Alligator mississippiensis: one gene and its partner. The protein of the gene in region 2 interacts with the protein of the main gene of each other region in a pairwise test. Links are inferred from orthologs where the notes say so. Each region holds a gene or a part of one and is shown on either strand. Other genes may lie near its edges.

Region 1 (7,537 bases), on a different chromosome or scaffold from region 2:
GATAGTCTTGTCCCTGGAACCCGAGACAATCTGCCGGTTGTCAGATGAGAAGGCCACGCTCAGGACATCCTTGGTATGGCCCACAAATCGCCGGGTTGTGGTACCTCTGCAGGGGGCAAAAGGAAAAACATTCGGGTCACTCTTGGTGTCACTATGGACACCTCCTCCTACATCCACCTGCCAAATCCCTACTAAACTTCACAAAGAGCAACAGAAGAGGCATGGTGGTAAAAGGACTGGGGTGGGGGGAGGTTGGGCTCATGGAGTTGAAGGTCACCAAGAAGCATGAGCCAGGTTCTGAGTTGGGTGGGGTGAGGGGAGCGGGGGGAGACCCTAACAAGCAAACTAAATGAAATGTTAGAGCAGAAGCATAATCCAGGAACCCGCAGAGGAGACAGCCCAGGTAGATAAAAGAGGATGGGAGGTGTATCATGCAAAAAAATAGGTGGAACAAGGAAAATAAAGGACATGACCAGCAGGAAAGACCATAAAGCTCCCTATCTCCCTTCCTGTCCCATCATAATTGCAGGACATGTCGTCAGACTCCAGAGAGTCAGCAGACTTGTGTCAGGTTTAATCATTGGGACTAGAAGGGAAAAGGAATGAACAAAACTATCTGGATTACCAGCTTTCTGCAGTCTTAAAAGCTGAGCTAGCCATTTCCTAGAAGTAGCTGTTTCAGGCTGGTGACCCGTACTCCGAAACCAAACATTTCTGAAGTCTTAAGATTAAAAAGTGCACAGGACAAAGAATGCTTGACCTGGAATTGAAAATGTGGGGCACACAGGGATAAGGATCTCCCCTCTTTAAACTGCCAACCCTTGCTATATCCCTGGTTGCTTTTTTGTAACTGGTCTGTGGACTTCAAAATGGGCAGCCAGTACTACTCCACAGTGCATCAGTGCAGTGGGATGGGAAGGAGGGCTGTGATCTGCAGAGCAAACAGGCCAAGGAAGTTAGAAGCGGGGAAAATCTCAGCATCACCCCCAGGGGTATCCTATTCCCTGTCTGTTCTACTGTGTTCTTTCGCCATGTTCTCTGCCCCGCAGACTCTGTTTCTGCCAAGGAAGCCACCCTGCCCTGTTCTTCTTCCTGTCACTCACGTGGTAAGGTCCCAGAGGCGCAAGGTGCCATCCCAGGAGCCAGAGAGGGCAAACTGCCCATCAGAGGAGATGACCACATCGCTGACAAAGTGTGAGTGGCCACGCAGGGCACGCTGTGGGATCCCATAGTTGGTCTCATCCCTGGTCAGCTTCCACATGATGATGGTCTTGTCTGTGCAGGAGAAGCAAAAAGGAATTAGCTGCGTCTCCCTACCACAGCAAAAGAGCACGGGGCCTGGAGACTGCCCCTAGACTGGACTGGGCAGCAACCACTGAACCCCTTCATACCAATCCTGAGAACAGCCCCTGGAATCAATCGTGGCATTTACCCAGTCCCAACCTCTATGGCACAGTCGATCACCAGTCTCATCAAACGTGGGCAAGTTAGATTATACCAACATGCGTCCGGTTCCCAATATCCTTTCCATTGCACCAACCTGTCCCCTCCTCTGAGACAGGGCTGCATAAAACGGCAAAACCCCTTATCCCCAATGCTCACCTAAGCACTAGGTCTCCAAATTCCCTCTCTTTTATTTTATAGCTATGGGCTTCTCCTGAACAATGTGCCCTGACAGGGAGCCCCACTCACCCTCCTTCCCAGAATCCCATCATAATTGCAGGACTTGTCATCAGACCCCAGAGGGTCAGCAGACGCGTCAGGTCTAATCACTGGGATCGGGAGGTGTGCAGCTCCATGATACTAGCAGGGATGAACCTCAGTGCATTGATGGCCTCTGGGCAAGCAGAGAAACTTCATCCTGGGCAAGCAGAGAGCACCCCCCACCCCCAGACAAGGAATTTGTGCAAGCCCCCAGAGCACCACCAACTCACGACAGCCTGAGGGTAGGGAAGGGATCCTAGGCTAGGAAGGTCCCAAAGCTGCTCCCTTTTGATCCCTCCCCACTTTCTGCTGGATTTGCCCCCTCTCAGGGATTGAAAGCCTAACAGGCCCCACCATCCTGCAAAGACCTTCAGTTCCCAAAACCCTCAGAGAGCCTCAACAGGTAGCACCCCCTGAACACCTTTTAGTGGGGCTTCCCCTCACAATACCCCCCACCTCCAGCTCCTGGACGAATAAACAGCACCCCCCACCCCATAGCTAGGGAAACTGAGTCCCAGCAGCCCACCCAGCCCTGCAGCCTGGTACAGACGAGAGATGGGAATTAAACCAGAAGTCTGAGCTCCACTTTCTTGTCCTGAACAAGGTCCGCACCTCCCCGGCCCCCTGCCCAGGGGCTCTTCCCGGACACCTGCCCCTTCGTCTCGGGCACCAGGTTCTGCTGCCCCAACCCCTCCCAGGCCTAAGGGCCCCAATCCCCTCCAGCTGCAGCCACATTTGCACAATGCTGAAGCAAATGGTGCAGCCCTGTGTCCTGGCCCCTCAGTGATCCATCCCCCATCCCACCCCTCCACGTGGCTGCAGACCCAGCATCCCCAATGGCACATCCCACCCTCCCCCCACCAGCAAAATGGTATCTCCCTCTGCCTGGTTCCCCACCCCCACTGCAGGGTTGGTCTCTGCCTAGCCCCCAACCAAGCAGCGAGGTGGACTTTCCCACCCCCGCAGCTGCCACCACGATGGTGTCAGCCACAGCCCTTTATGCCACCCGCTGCAGGTTGCCCCCCCCCCCAAGCGGGTGCATTGGTCTGCCCCGCCCCCACCCCCGGCGCCGCTCTCACCGCGCGAGGCGGACAAGATCATGTCCGGGAACTGCGGGGTGGTGGCGATCTGCGTCACCCAGCCATTGTGGCCCTTCAGGGTGCCGCGCAGGGTCATCTGCTCCGTCATGGCGGCAGCGGCACGGCGGGCTCAGCGCGCGGGGGAGGGAGGATGGCGGCGGATTCGGCGGCGGCCGCGGGCCGGACCCTGCACTCGCTCAGGCAGCGGCCCAGAGAGAAAGGAAGTCGGGACGTCGGCCGGAAACGGAAATAAGCTTCGCGTCGCGTCGCGCCGTACGGCAAGATGGCTGCCGCCGGCCGCCGTCACTCAGAAGGCGGGAAGGAGAGGCGCCCGCCAGCCAACATGGTGGCTTCCGCAAGCAGGAGCCAAGATGGCGGCGCCCTTGCGGAGGCGCTGGGGTTTGTCATGGCGACCACTACGTGGCGGTTCCGTACAGCGGCCTTTGCCAATGAGAGCGGGGGGGCGGGGCCTGGCGCGTGTGGCCGCTGATATTACACTAAATTCACGCCCGCTTTCAAAACTGAAGCGAGGTGATGGTCGGGGTCGGAAGCTGTCTGTAGCGCTGGGAGTGGGGGGGGCAGGGGTGAGTTATAGCCACCCTAAAATTGTCGGAACCCCCCCATACAGCCCACCGCCGCCGTCCACCCCAGCCCCGCCCGAGCGCAGCCCCGGCCCAGCGCCCCCTGTGGGAAGAGGCCAGCACCGCTCCTGGCCCTGAGCCCGCAGCATGCAGCGCACCCCGCCTCGTGCACGAATCCGGGGACACACGACACGCCCCGCCCCGCCCTGCCCCGCCCCCCCAGCCCAGCCCTGGCTCCACCCCGCGCCCCTTCACTGTTCTTGTGCTGCTCCTCTGCCCTGAAGGGGAGTGTGACGCCGCTGGGCTAGACAAGGGCTGGCTCGCTGGGATAGGGATGATTCCCCCTCAAGCAGGGCTGGACTAGACCTTTGGACATCCTTCCAGCCCTACTTTGATATGATTCTGTGATTATCACAAATGATCAACAAATCTATATTATTTTAATTTATACCAGTACTGGTAATTTCTGAAAAAAAAAATTGTTTTAATATAGGACCAGGAACAACTTCAAGCTTGTCACAGTTGAAATTAATTTGGACCCTAATTTTCACTGATTTTTTTTTTTTTAATGAAATTTTACAAGAAGGAAGTACGTTTTACCACCTGAGACCCTGCTCCTGCCTTTGTTTGAGGTAATTTGCATTATCACAGAGCCCGGAGATACTTTGCCACATGAGAAATTCCTGCCCAGAAGAGCAGCCCATCATTTTATTCTGTGAAATATGGAATATCATAACCAGAAGGAAATATAACTCTACGTCCTGCTAGCCACCAAACACCTTCGAGGTAAACAGACTAGTCCAACTTTTTTCTGGCCCTAAGCTGCATAAAATGAACTGTTCCAGACAGGGGTGTAGGTTGTAGCCGTGCTGGTCTAAGGACATAAGCAGACAAGGTTCCTTGGGTGAATCTGATATCTTTTATTAGACCAACCCAAATAGTTGGAAAATAATTATTAAGCAAGCTTTCGGGTTCAAAAACCCTTCGTGAGGCTAAGGAAGTTTCAGCAGTTGGTGTGTGTTCCAAACAGGAGATTTTACCACACCTTCAACTCTCCTATGAAATATGAACTTTCATTTCTACCTCGGAGAACTTTTACAGTCTTTTCTCCTATGCCTGAAGAAGGGTCCCTGTGCCTGAAAGCTTGCAAATGAAACTTTTTTTTGCAAAAATCTAATTGGTCTAATAAAAGATGTCACCTCTACCACTAGTTCAGATCCCTTTGGACCTTAACATATCTCCTTTACTCTTACTTCCACTTTCTATAAATGCTGCAAGATCAAAGCACATTTCTCAGTTTGGAATTAAAAGAGAATTCTTTAAAAACTTTAAGGAAAGACTACAATCACACTCCTGGCCCCTTTTACACTTGGAATTATCCATGCAACTTAATAGACTGAAAAGCGATGCGTGTTAAATGATTATCTTGACAAAAGGTATGCTTTGGACTTCCCAGCTACAGCTTAAAAATTGTAGACCTGTTCAAAAGGATCAGTCAGGTAGGTGGATTCGTCTGCCACAGGTATTTAAAACAACGTTTTTCATATCTGCAGTAGAAACCATTTTTTTTTGGACAGATTAAATATTTCTGTGATAATTTGTTTAACTCTTTGTGTGAACGCAGCATTCAATATGTATTCGAAAAGGTTTGCACTTGAAATGTATTTCAGATTGACTTCCAAGTAATGTAACACCAGACTGTTTGATAATGTTGAAGTATTACGTATTTATTTCGCTGTTGTGCTTAATTAAAAATGCATTGGACCTGATCTTACTCTCAGTGCGTTCTAAGAGTTATTTTTAACTAAAATAACTTCATACTTTTAGAATTCAGGCAGGAAGAGACTGCTCCAGGCCCAGATGCCATTAGCATAGCTTTTTTGATTTTTGTTACTAACAAGCTTTTTCCTTGAAAGTTTAAAAGAAAAAAAAATCCAGAATCAATCAAAACAGAAAATGGTATCTTTTACTTGCTAGAAATTCAATGGGAATTAAACATTCGCTTAAATATTTGCTGAATAAGAGGAGTAGACACAAATCTTGAAAGGCTGGACCCATAATATTGGACTCTTCATGGGGTAATTGTCTTGCATTTTCTAATCCACAATGTCTACAAAATTTTGGGAGAATATCCAGTAGGGATGTGTGGTAGTCACAAGTTTAGGGGGAAAATGATGACATAAATGCAAGAGAGAGGCCAAGCTGCAAATTGTAAACCAGTTCATTTTTGCTATTTGATGTTTCACAAGAAAAATCTCTGAGAATTGAAAAAAATAATATTTTTTCATGAGAAATTTTCAACAAAATGATTTATTTCATTTGAAGTTTTTTTGAAGTTTTTTCAGTAATGCAACCTAGAACATTTTTTTTTTTTATTAGCCATCACAAATTAAATGATACCAACAGTTTTTTTTAAATTGCCATCTTTCTCTCTTCTCTCCACCCCGCTTCCTTTTCCATGTGGATAGAGGAAAACCAAAGAATATATATGGACTCATTCTAATACAAACTTTTTATTCATTTCATAGATTCATAGATGTTAGGGTCGGAAGGGACCTCAATAGATCATCGAGTCCGACCCCCTGCATAAGCAGGAAAGAGTGCTGGGTCTAGATGACCCCAGCTAGATGCTCATCTAACCTCCTCTTGAAGACCCCCAGGGTAGGGGAGCCCGTTCCAGACCTTGGCCACTCGAACTGTGAAGAAGTTCTTCCTAATGTCCAATCTAAATCTGCTCTCTGCTAGCTTGTGGCCATTATTTCTTGTAACCCCCGGGGGCGCCTTGGTGAATAAATACTCACCAATTCCCTTCTGTGCCCCCATGATGAACTTAAAGGCAGCCACAAGGTCGCCTCTCAACCTTCTCTTGCGGAGGCTGAAAAGGTCCAGTTTCTCTAGTCTCTCCTCGTAGGGCTTGGTCTGCAGGCCCTTGACCATACAAGTTGCCCTTCTCTGGACCCTCTCCAGGTTATCCGCATCCTTCTTGAAGTGTGGCACCCAGAATTGCACGCAGTACTCCAACTGCGGTCTGACCAGCGCCCTATAGAGGGGAAGTATCACCTCCCTGGACCTATTCGTCATGCATCTGCTGATGCACGATAAAGTGCCATTGGCTTTTCTGATGGCTTCGTCACACTGCCGGCTCATGTTCATCTTGGAGTCCACTAGGACTCCAAGATCCCTTTCCACCTCTGTGCCACCCAGCAGGTCATTCCCTAGGCTGTAGGTGTGCTGGACATTTTTCCTCCCTAGGTGCAGCACTTTGCATTTAAAATAACATTTTTTATTATTATTCTATGGCAAAATAGGGGGGAAAGAGGCATAGAAGGGGTATCTTCGGTAGCAGTGAAGAAGTTTTCAATTAAATTAAATTTTAAAACTTTGCTCTTCTCAGATTCCCCAAAGGGTGTGCCATGGCACAGTAGCGTGCTGTAAGAGCAGCAGAAGTGCTATGCAAAAAATTAGAGATATACCAATACATCGGTCCCATAGAAGATCAGCACCAATATAAGGAAAATTGATGGTATCAGCAGTCAGGTTTTTTTGGCTGATGTAACCGATAATGCCACCAATAAATGCCCCATGCATGCGCACAGCCACAGCGCAGCACACAGGCGGCCAGGAGCAAAGCCCAGCAGTGTGGAGAGCAGCCGGGTCCAGCTGGTAAGTCTGTTGTGAGGGCTTTCCCAAGCAGGGGGTGCTAAGCCAGGCTGCGCTTGGGGCGGGTGGCAGCAGCACCAGGAGGGGGCTATGGTGAATTTTGGGGTGGCTGCAGCCCCCCCCGTAGCCCTGCTTCCAATGCTGCTGCTGCCTACCCCAATAGTAGCTTGACCCAACCTCCACCGGGAAGAGCCTGGCACGGCCCCAGACTGCAGCAGCAGCCTGCCCTTGCCCCACGTGCAGTTCCAGGGGCACATGCCCCACATATCCTCCCGGGATGCATGCAGCAACAGGAGCTGCCCCCCGCCCTCCCCCCCTCCTTCTGATGAACCTCTTGCAGTTCCATCCTGTGCTCTGACCCAGTTGTGCAGCACCTGCCCCAGCCCCACTCCCTCCCTCGTCGTGGCTGCCTTGATCTGCCACCCCCATGCCCCTTTCCTTTCCCCTAACCTCTTCCCCCACAACAGACTTACCAGCCAGACACTGCTTTCCAAGCTTCCCAGCTGCATATCA
Region 2 (7,254 bases):
CACAGATCTCACACACCTCTCCATGGAGGTAAGGGCACTGGTCACCGAACTGGCACGCCCCAGCAGCTGCATAGGGACACAGCTGCTGTCCATCAGCAGAGGAACTTCCAGGCATTGGATCTTCCAGCCCAGTGCAAATAGCTTCTAGATATGAATGAGGCTTCATTTCCAGATCATCAGTTCTGTCACTGCAACAAGCCAGGTCACTTGCTGCACTGAGTCTCGTCTTTTCTTCATTCAAACTACGTAAATCTTAAAAGAAAAAAAGCACAATATATATTGAATGATCATGAAAGCATAAAAGCCACAAAGGAACCTGTCTTGAATACAAAGGCTACCTGATGAACTAAAGGGTTGTTTAACCACGGCCCTCTCACCAGCTGAATCCACATATATAGCTCCTTCTATACCTAAACTCAGCAGCATTTTACAATCAAAATTATATACTGCAAAGCCTGAAAATACCAGGTACATACACATTTTGAACTGCTTTCATATTTGCACTTGAAGCAAGGCTAAAATCCTCCTGGTTCTCAACTAAATGAATGAATGAATAAATTTGTTCTCCACAATTCCCTCTCTTGGCAATTCAGGAGCCAACTGCATTCATGTGACCACAAAGAATTGCTCCAAAACAGATTTCCCTGACACTGTTTGGAAATTTCTCCTCTGAATAACATTTTGTAAATAAAAGACCTGGTATTACTAGAAACTTCTGATTTTGCATAACATCTCAAATGCAGTACATACAGATTGACTGTTTAAGACATGGAAACCCCCCTCCCCCCCCCCCCCCCCAGCTTGGCAGTACATGCCCAGAAGAAACATTGCATTAATTTGACCCAGCTTGCCCAATGTCTGTGTAGATTGTGTGCTTCAGCAGGGCTTTTTGGTGCTTTTATCTAATATCTGATTAAATCAGCCATTAATTAGATAAAAGTGCCAAAAAGTCCCACTGAAGTGTGCAGTCTATACAGACACTGGGGAGCTGAGTTCAACTAACGCACTTCTTCTTCTGGTCAAGTGCTGGTTTTTTGGGTTTTTTTCCATGTCTGTCAGCAGCCATTATGTCACTCTTTCACCATGAACTCCCAAAAGGAATGTTACTGGAGTTTTATTGCTGAAAGGAAAAGGAGACGGACAGATCATGTTCTGGTCTCACACACTGTTCCAAAGCTGCCACCCAGCTTCTTCAGCATCCATCAAGGTTCAGCCCAGAGACCCTGCCAAGAGCAGCAAGGGGCCTGGGGCACTGATAGGGTAGGGCAATTGTACAGGGCTGAGAGAGGAAGAAGGAAGATAACCCAGCATTGCAGCCTCACAAAGGATAGTGAAAGCAATATTGAGAAGGAAAGGGTTTATTTATGGTGGACCTGGGGAGACCATGGTGGGTATGCACGTAGAAATAGAGGACTGCTGAGAGCGGGAGCTTGACCCCCATTCTACAGCATTAGGCAATGCAGGACTCCCCCAGTACTTGTGCTCAAGTATACTGGGTCAGTCCTCCAAGTGCTAATCCCCTGGCACCACCCCAAATCCCCCTTCACTACACAAATCTCTGCTCATGCCCTGCTCTTGGAAGATGGCAAGAAAGGACCACATGGAGACACAGAAGAATCATTTGGGGGAATGCATGGAGCAGAAGGAAAGCTTTCCCCTGGAAAAGTTAACAGGTGTAAGCATTTGCAGAATTATGTTACAAAGGTAACTGCATCTGCTTGGGCATCTGTAAATGGAAGAGACAAGGAGAAGAAGGGAAGTAATAAAACTACCAGCAGCAATAAGCATGGTAACTGTTCCAACTCACTTCTGTCCCTCAGCACTAGTGTTTTCTTTTCACGCTTGCCAGGTTCACATGTTTTGCTCTTGATTACAGGTGTGCTATGCTCTGATGGAGGGTTTGGGCTGTGGAGCACTGGTAAAGAGAGGCTGGGTGGTGCAATGCCCACTGTACCACTCGGAGCAGGAAGCCTGGTATGATCATATCTAAAAAGAAAAAGCAAAGTAAAAGTTTGTGCTACAAGGACTAAACTCTGGTTGAAGGCATAATTGGGATTGCTTGGGAAACTACTGGACTCCACATAGACAGTCCAGACTGGATCGCTCTCATATCCCCCTGCCCATACATTCTGCCAATGAAGCTTTAAGCGCAGGTGTAGCAACAGTCCCCCACACTAGTCTAGACAGTAGTCAGGGAAACCATTCCTCCCAAGGCAGGGGAACCGAAAATCCTGCCAACATCCTGTACGAGGTCCCGTCTCATAGCACCTGCTCAGACGAGATGGGGGCTGCATTCCCCCAGTGATGTACCTGTGTATCATTTGCTCCAGTTCCTCTTTGCTTCTGTCAATATTAGTTAAGACGGCAAGTCATCAAATCATAGAAAAGCAGGGCTTGAAGGGACCTCCAGAGGCACCTAGTTCAACCCCCACTTGAGGCAGGATCATTCCTATCCAAACCATCCCATACAAACCGTAATCTAAACTCTATGTAAAACTACCCTCAATCCTGACACAACACACCTAACACCCTGATTTGGTGTAGGTAAAGCAGGGGAACGATGGCAGCCAACATCCTGCAACTATGAAATACTGTGAATATATACTCAAGAGGCCCTGGGCAGAGGCTGCGCCCCTGCTACAGAGGAAGGCAAAAGCCCCCACAGCTCTGGCCAATCCGACCACAGGGTAAAATTCCTTCCTGATCCCAAATATGGCATCACTCTGGCTAGCAGGTCTTGTCCCTCCGCTCAAGGCCAGGAACCCCCGGCTTTGGTCCCAGCAGGAGTACTGGCACAGCCCTGCCAAAAACCAGAGCCTGGGCTGCAGCTAACACCAGCGCCTCTGAGGGAGGCTTAGCCCCCCCCGGCGCAGAAAGGGCACAAGGGGGCAGGCGGCAAGGCCGGAAATCCCTGCAGCGCGGAACACAGCTCGGCTCGGCCCAGCCCTCGCTGACTGCTCCCGCCCAGCTCCGCCGGGCCGGGCCGGGCCGGGCCGGGACCCGCGGGCGCTCACCTGCAGCGCGCGCCGTAGGCGCACTGTCCCTTCTGGTAGAAGCGGCAGACGGCGGCTGCGCGGCTCGCGGACAGGTCGTGGGAGAACAGGCAGCGGCTGCCCTGGCGGCACACGCCATGCACGTAGTACCTGCGGGCGGGAAACGGGCGCCGTCACACGCCGGCCGCCCCCAGCCTGGGCCGCGGGAGCCCCTCGCACAACCCCCGGCCCCGGCGCGGCCCTCGCGGCGCGGCCTCACCTGCAGGTCACCTGCTTGGTGCTCATGGCCGGCCTCGCTCCTGCTCTCCGACCCGCCCGAGCCCCAGCCCGAGCCCTCGGTTCCGCCGCGCGCGGGGGGAGGGACAGAGCTGTGCGGAACGGTGCCGCGGCGGGAATGGGCGCGGGGGGACCCTATTCCCCGCCGGACCGGAGCCGCCCCGCGCGGGGGGCGGGGCCAGGGAGAGCGGGCGGGAGCCATCGAGACAAAGCGGCCGGGGGCAGAGCGCCGCTCTTGGTGGGGGCGGGGCGTGCGACCCAGGGGACTCGCAAGCTGCAAGCAGCTGCTCTCGCCTGGCCTGCAGCGGGGCGCTGGCACCCGAACACCAGTGCTCGTCACCGCGCGTTCCCGGAGCTATTGGCCGGATGGGCTGCCAGCCTGTGTGACGTCACCCGCCCCCTCTGCGAGCCGGATCCCAGCGCGAGACGGCTGGCGCCATGCAGCCGTGGGAGCCGGCGGGCGGCGTCGTCCGGTTCCGCCACTGCGGGAAGTTCATCTTCGGCCCGCGTGTGCCCGCGCGCTGCCCCGCCTGCGGCCGCCGCCTCCTCTACCGCGGGCTGGAGCAGGCGCCCGTCAGCGTCCCCAGCCCCTTCGTCAACGGGCACGCGCGGCTCTGCGCCTTCCTGCTGCGGCCCACGGCCGGCGCCTTCCTGGGGTACGGCCGCCGTCCGCCGCTCGGCCTTCCCCGCCGGCTCCGGCCCCGGGCCTTTCTCAGACGCGGGGGTAGGCGCGCGTGTCCTGCCCCGTCCCCAGTTCGGGTCTTGCTGCACTTTGTCGTCTGCAAAACAGTTGGTGCGAAATGTTGCTTGGGCACTAAGCCCCTGATCTGACAGAATGGGTGCGGGGTGTGTAGCGACCTGTGTACCTGGCCCGTTTGTCTCCTTAGTGGACGAGAAGTGCGAGCCCATACTGTGTGTGTGCACGGACTGCTGTTAAAAGCTGAGTTTTCATTGAAGTTCTTATCCTGTGGGTTTGTGGTAAGGGGAAATCTGGGCCTTCATTTTTCATCTTTGGAGCCCCCATGGAGCGTGACCTGTCCTTCCGAGCCCTTTGTGGTCTCCCTCTACTGTTGCCCTGTGCCCTGCTGTGCTGTTGTTGTGGTCCAGTAGGGGGGTGTTTGGGGTGAACAGAAAATGACACTTGTACAAAATCTAAACAGCCATTTCTGGAAATGAAAAATTTCATGAGGTGTGTAATGATGTCTGCATCCATGCTCCCTCACATTCTAGTCTCAGCTGGAGTCAAAAGTACCAGCAATTAGGGAAGGAGACCTTTCAGAGTATTTTTAACGTGACCAAGCAGCCCCTGCATGAAGCTATTTTCAGTCGTAAAAACTTTATACCATTTTTCTTTCAGAGAGTATGATGGGAAATCTGATCTTCATGTTGGAATAACCAGTACTAATGGTAACAAGAGCTTTGTAATTAATCTCTTCTTAAATATGCAACATCTTTGTGTATCTCCAGTACATTTCTGGGATTTAAACTATATATACAAGTTTGATTTCACTCCTATCTTCCTGATCTTCCTTGAGAACAGTATTTCTCAACCCGTGGGTCATGACCCAAAAGTGGGTCACAAGAATATATGAAAGGGTTGTGAACAAACTCTAAAAATGGATCCACATACTTCAAAAATGGATTCTCCCTTTAAAGGAGAAAAACATGAGAAACCATGGCTTTTCCCTTGCAGGCTGGCAGAGCTCCAGCCTGCAAGGGGCTGCTTGGGCCCCTCCACCTCTCACGCTGCGGATGGGGCAGCAGGTTGGGAGTGAGGGGCACTGGGTTGGGACTGGCCATCGATGTTTACAAATGGGTCCTGGTACAAAATGGGATAAGAACCAGTGCTTTAGGGGTTAGGATTGAATAGCACTCATTTCAGAGCCAGCCAGTTGCATTCACTAATTGGATACATGCATGGTGAGTGAGATTTGCTGTTGAAAAACATCTCCAAACCTGTTGGCTCTACTACTAGAGAGCTACAGTAAAATCTGGGCTCTGCTAATGTCAAAGGAAATTGAGGTTGACAGTTTAAATGTGGGATTCTGTTTTAACATCTCAGCACTGACCAGAGAGCCCCAAAAGAAAACCACCTATCATTATAATCCCAAACTTTTAAGATTCCTATAAAATGGAACTCATGTTGGAAACCAAACCCAGCCCTATTTATCTATTCTCAGGACAAAATGCTAACAAGGTAGGCAGCCTTTGAAAGACATACTAGAAAATGTTTGCTTTACAGTTATTTGTACTGCCACTTTAAATACATTTTCCTTAACAGGACGTTGTCAGATTATAACAGCCTTTTTGATATCTGATAGAATTTTAAAAATGGAATTTAATGTGGTGTTCATCTTTTGCATTTTTCTCAATGAAAGTAGATTATCAGTTTTACTTTCCAACCCATTTTCACTGAATTATTTTGCACTAACAGAATGGGGCAACACTTGTGTTGCAGGTATGACAGTGGATTGTTTATTTTGAAATTAAAAACTATTCAGCATGTTCTGTGGGAGTTGTGTTTTTTTTTTTTTTAAATAAATTTTGCTTGTGGGACAGAATATGATGTTTTTGGTAGGGGAGGGAGTGAGAGGACAGTTTTACAGGCTTCGGTAACTGCTGTATTGCAGCAAGGAGTACCATTATAGAAAGCAGCTGCTTCATCCTGTTAGCAGAACTGTAACTTTATTTCTAATTCTCCAGCTCTTGCTAATAACGTTGCTGTTTGTATTTCCAGGACTCGTATACAATTACAATGAAACGGGCATTCACAGAGTTGAATTTGGGTGGGAACAATGCATTAGTATCCCACTAGTACAGCCAGGCATGTATGGGCTGCTTCAACAGTGGGATAAGTACCTAGAAGAGTTCTCTGCTGGAGAGGCCTGGCTTCCTCACAGGTATGTAAGTTCAGCAGATAAATTTAACAGAAAAGAGTTAATTCAGGATTGAATTGTACTAAGTTTGTGGTTCACCGCTGGTTTCATATACTTGAATCACATAGCAACAGTTTGTAAGGTCCTTTCAGACAACTAGCAGCTTGAAAATCTACAGCTTTGTTAAATGGTAATGTGTTTTGAGGGAGTGGCCAAAGTAATAGATATGCCTGCTGGAACACAGAGCCTTTATATTAGAGCCAGTTGCTCCAACAACAGAAAAATTTTTGTGCAGAAACAATAAGATCCTCTTAAGTCAGGGCTCTAGAGGTACCTGTGGTTAACTGTGGAAGCCCTGATTCTTCACAATTTTAGGCAAATCTACAGCTGGTGGGATTCATTTCTCTTGGGTACTTCTGGCTCTACAGGCTAAAATCCTGATCATGCTGAAATCTAAGAGTTTTGTATACAGAATACATCTTGATGATTTATTCCATGTCAATGATGAGGAATGGAAAAAATGCTCAATGTGACTTGTATCCAGTTCCAGCTGGCTTGCAGTGCCATACTTTTTTCTGCCAGGTAAATGCAGAAAGCCTTAAAACATTTTGAGCAAATCTGGCATGGTCATCATTGTGGGGTCATTTCTTTTTAGCTTCCATTGAGGCTGTCAGATGTAGACATAACAAGAGATGTGGCCAGGCTGGAATATACACCACCACATCACCAAGTTTATTAATAAACAAACTCACTGAGAAGACCAGTGCTTTACACATGCCTTGTATAAAGTGAATTTATGAAATGGCTTGCTTGGGTCCAATCATGTGGAGTGCTGAAGTGAACGGGAGTTAGTTTTAAGCCCAACTTGAATCACTGTTTCCGGCTGATATAGCCATGTATTTCAACATGCATAGTTTTCCCCATGTTTTGACTGAAGCCAAAAGGACTTGATTTATGATGGAATTCTCAGAAAGTGCCTGCCTGAGGAGCACAATTTCCACTGATGTTTAATAACTTTGGAACTTGTTAAGTTTCCACCCTTACTTCTAGAAAATAATTTGATGTCAAACAGAATAATGGAGGAAAGAGGGTTAGGTGTTTACATTTTT

The links. The genes of interacting proteins can lie anywhere in the genome.
Region 1: the proteins of MKRN2 (region 2) and RACK1 interact in binary tests that used the Homo sapiens proteins (3 or more experiments, as listed by UniProt). The two-hybrid records come from large-scale screens. The link is inferred for Alligator mississippiensis from reciprocal best matches to the Homo sapiens genes MKRN2 and RACK1.

Annotation. Positions count from the first base shown.
Region 1 is NC_081834.1:51,398,628-51,406,164, reverse strand, and holds the start of RACK1 (small ribosomal subunit protein RACK1), read right to left. Parts: upstream 3,003-7,537; 5' UTR 2,893-3,002; coding exon 2,784-2,892; intron 1,276-2,783; coding exon 1,104-1,275; intron 107-1,103; coding exon 1-106. UniProt on the Homo sapiens protein: Scaffolding protein involved in the recruitment, assembly and/or regulation of a variety of signaling molecules. Interacts with a wide variety of proteins and plays a role in many cellular processes.
Region 2 is NC_081835.1:30,776,187-30,783,440, forward strand, and holds the start of MKRN2 (E3 ubiquitin-protein ligase makorin-2), read right to left. Parts: upstream 3,374-7,254; 5' UTR 3,279-3,373; coding exon 3,253-3,278; intron 3,144-3,252; coding exon 3,015-3,143; intron 2,644-3,014; exon of another isoform or gene 2,322-2,643; coding exon of another isoform or gene 2,311-2,321; intron 1,987-2,310; coding exon 1,808-1,986; intron 253-1,807; coding exon 1-252. Other genes in the region: MKRN2OS (MKRN2 opposite strand protein), read left to right, coding at 3,708-3,925, 4,627-4,676, 6,007-6,169. UniProt on the Homo sapiens protein: E3 ubiquitin ligase catalyzing the covalent attachment of ubiquitin moieties onto substrate proteins.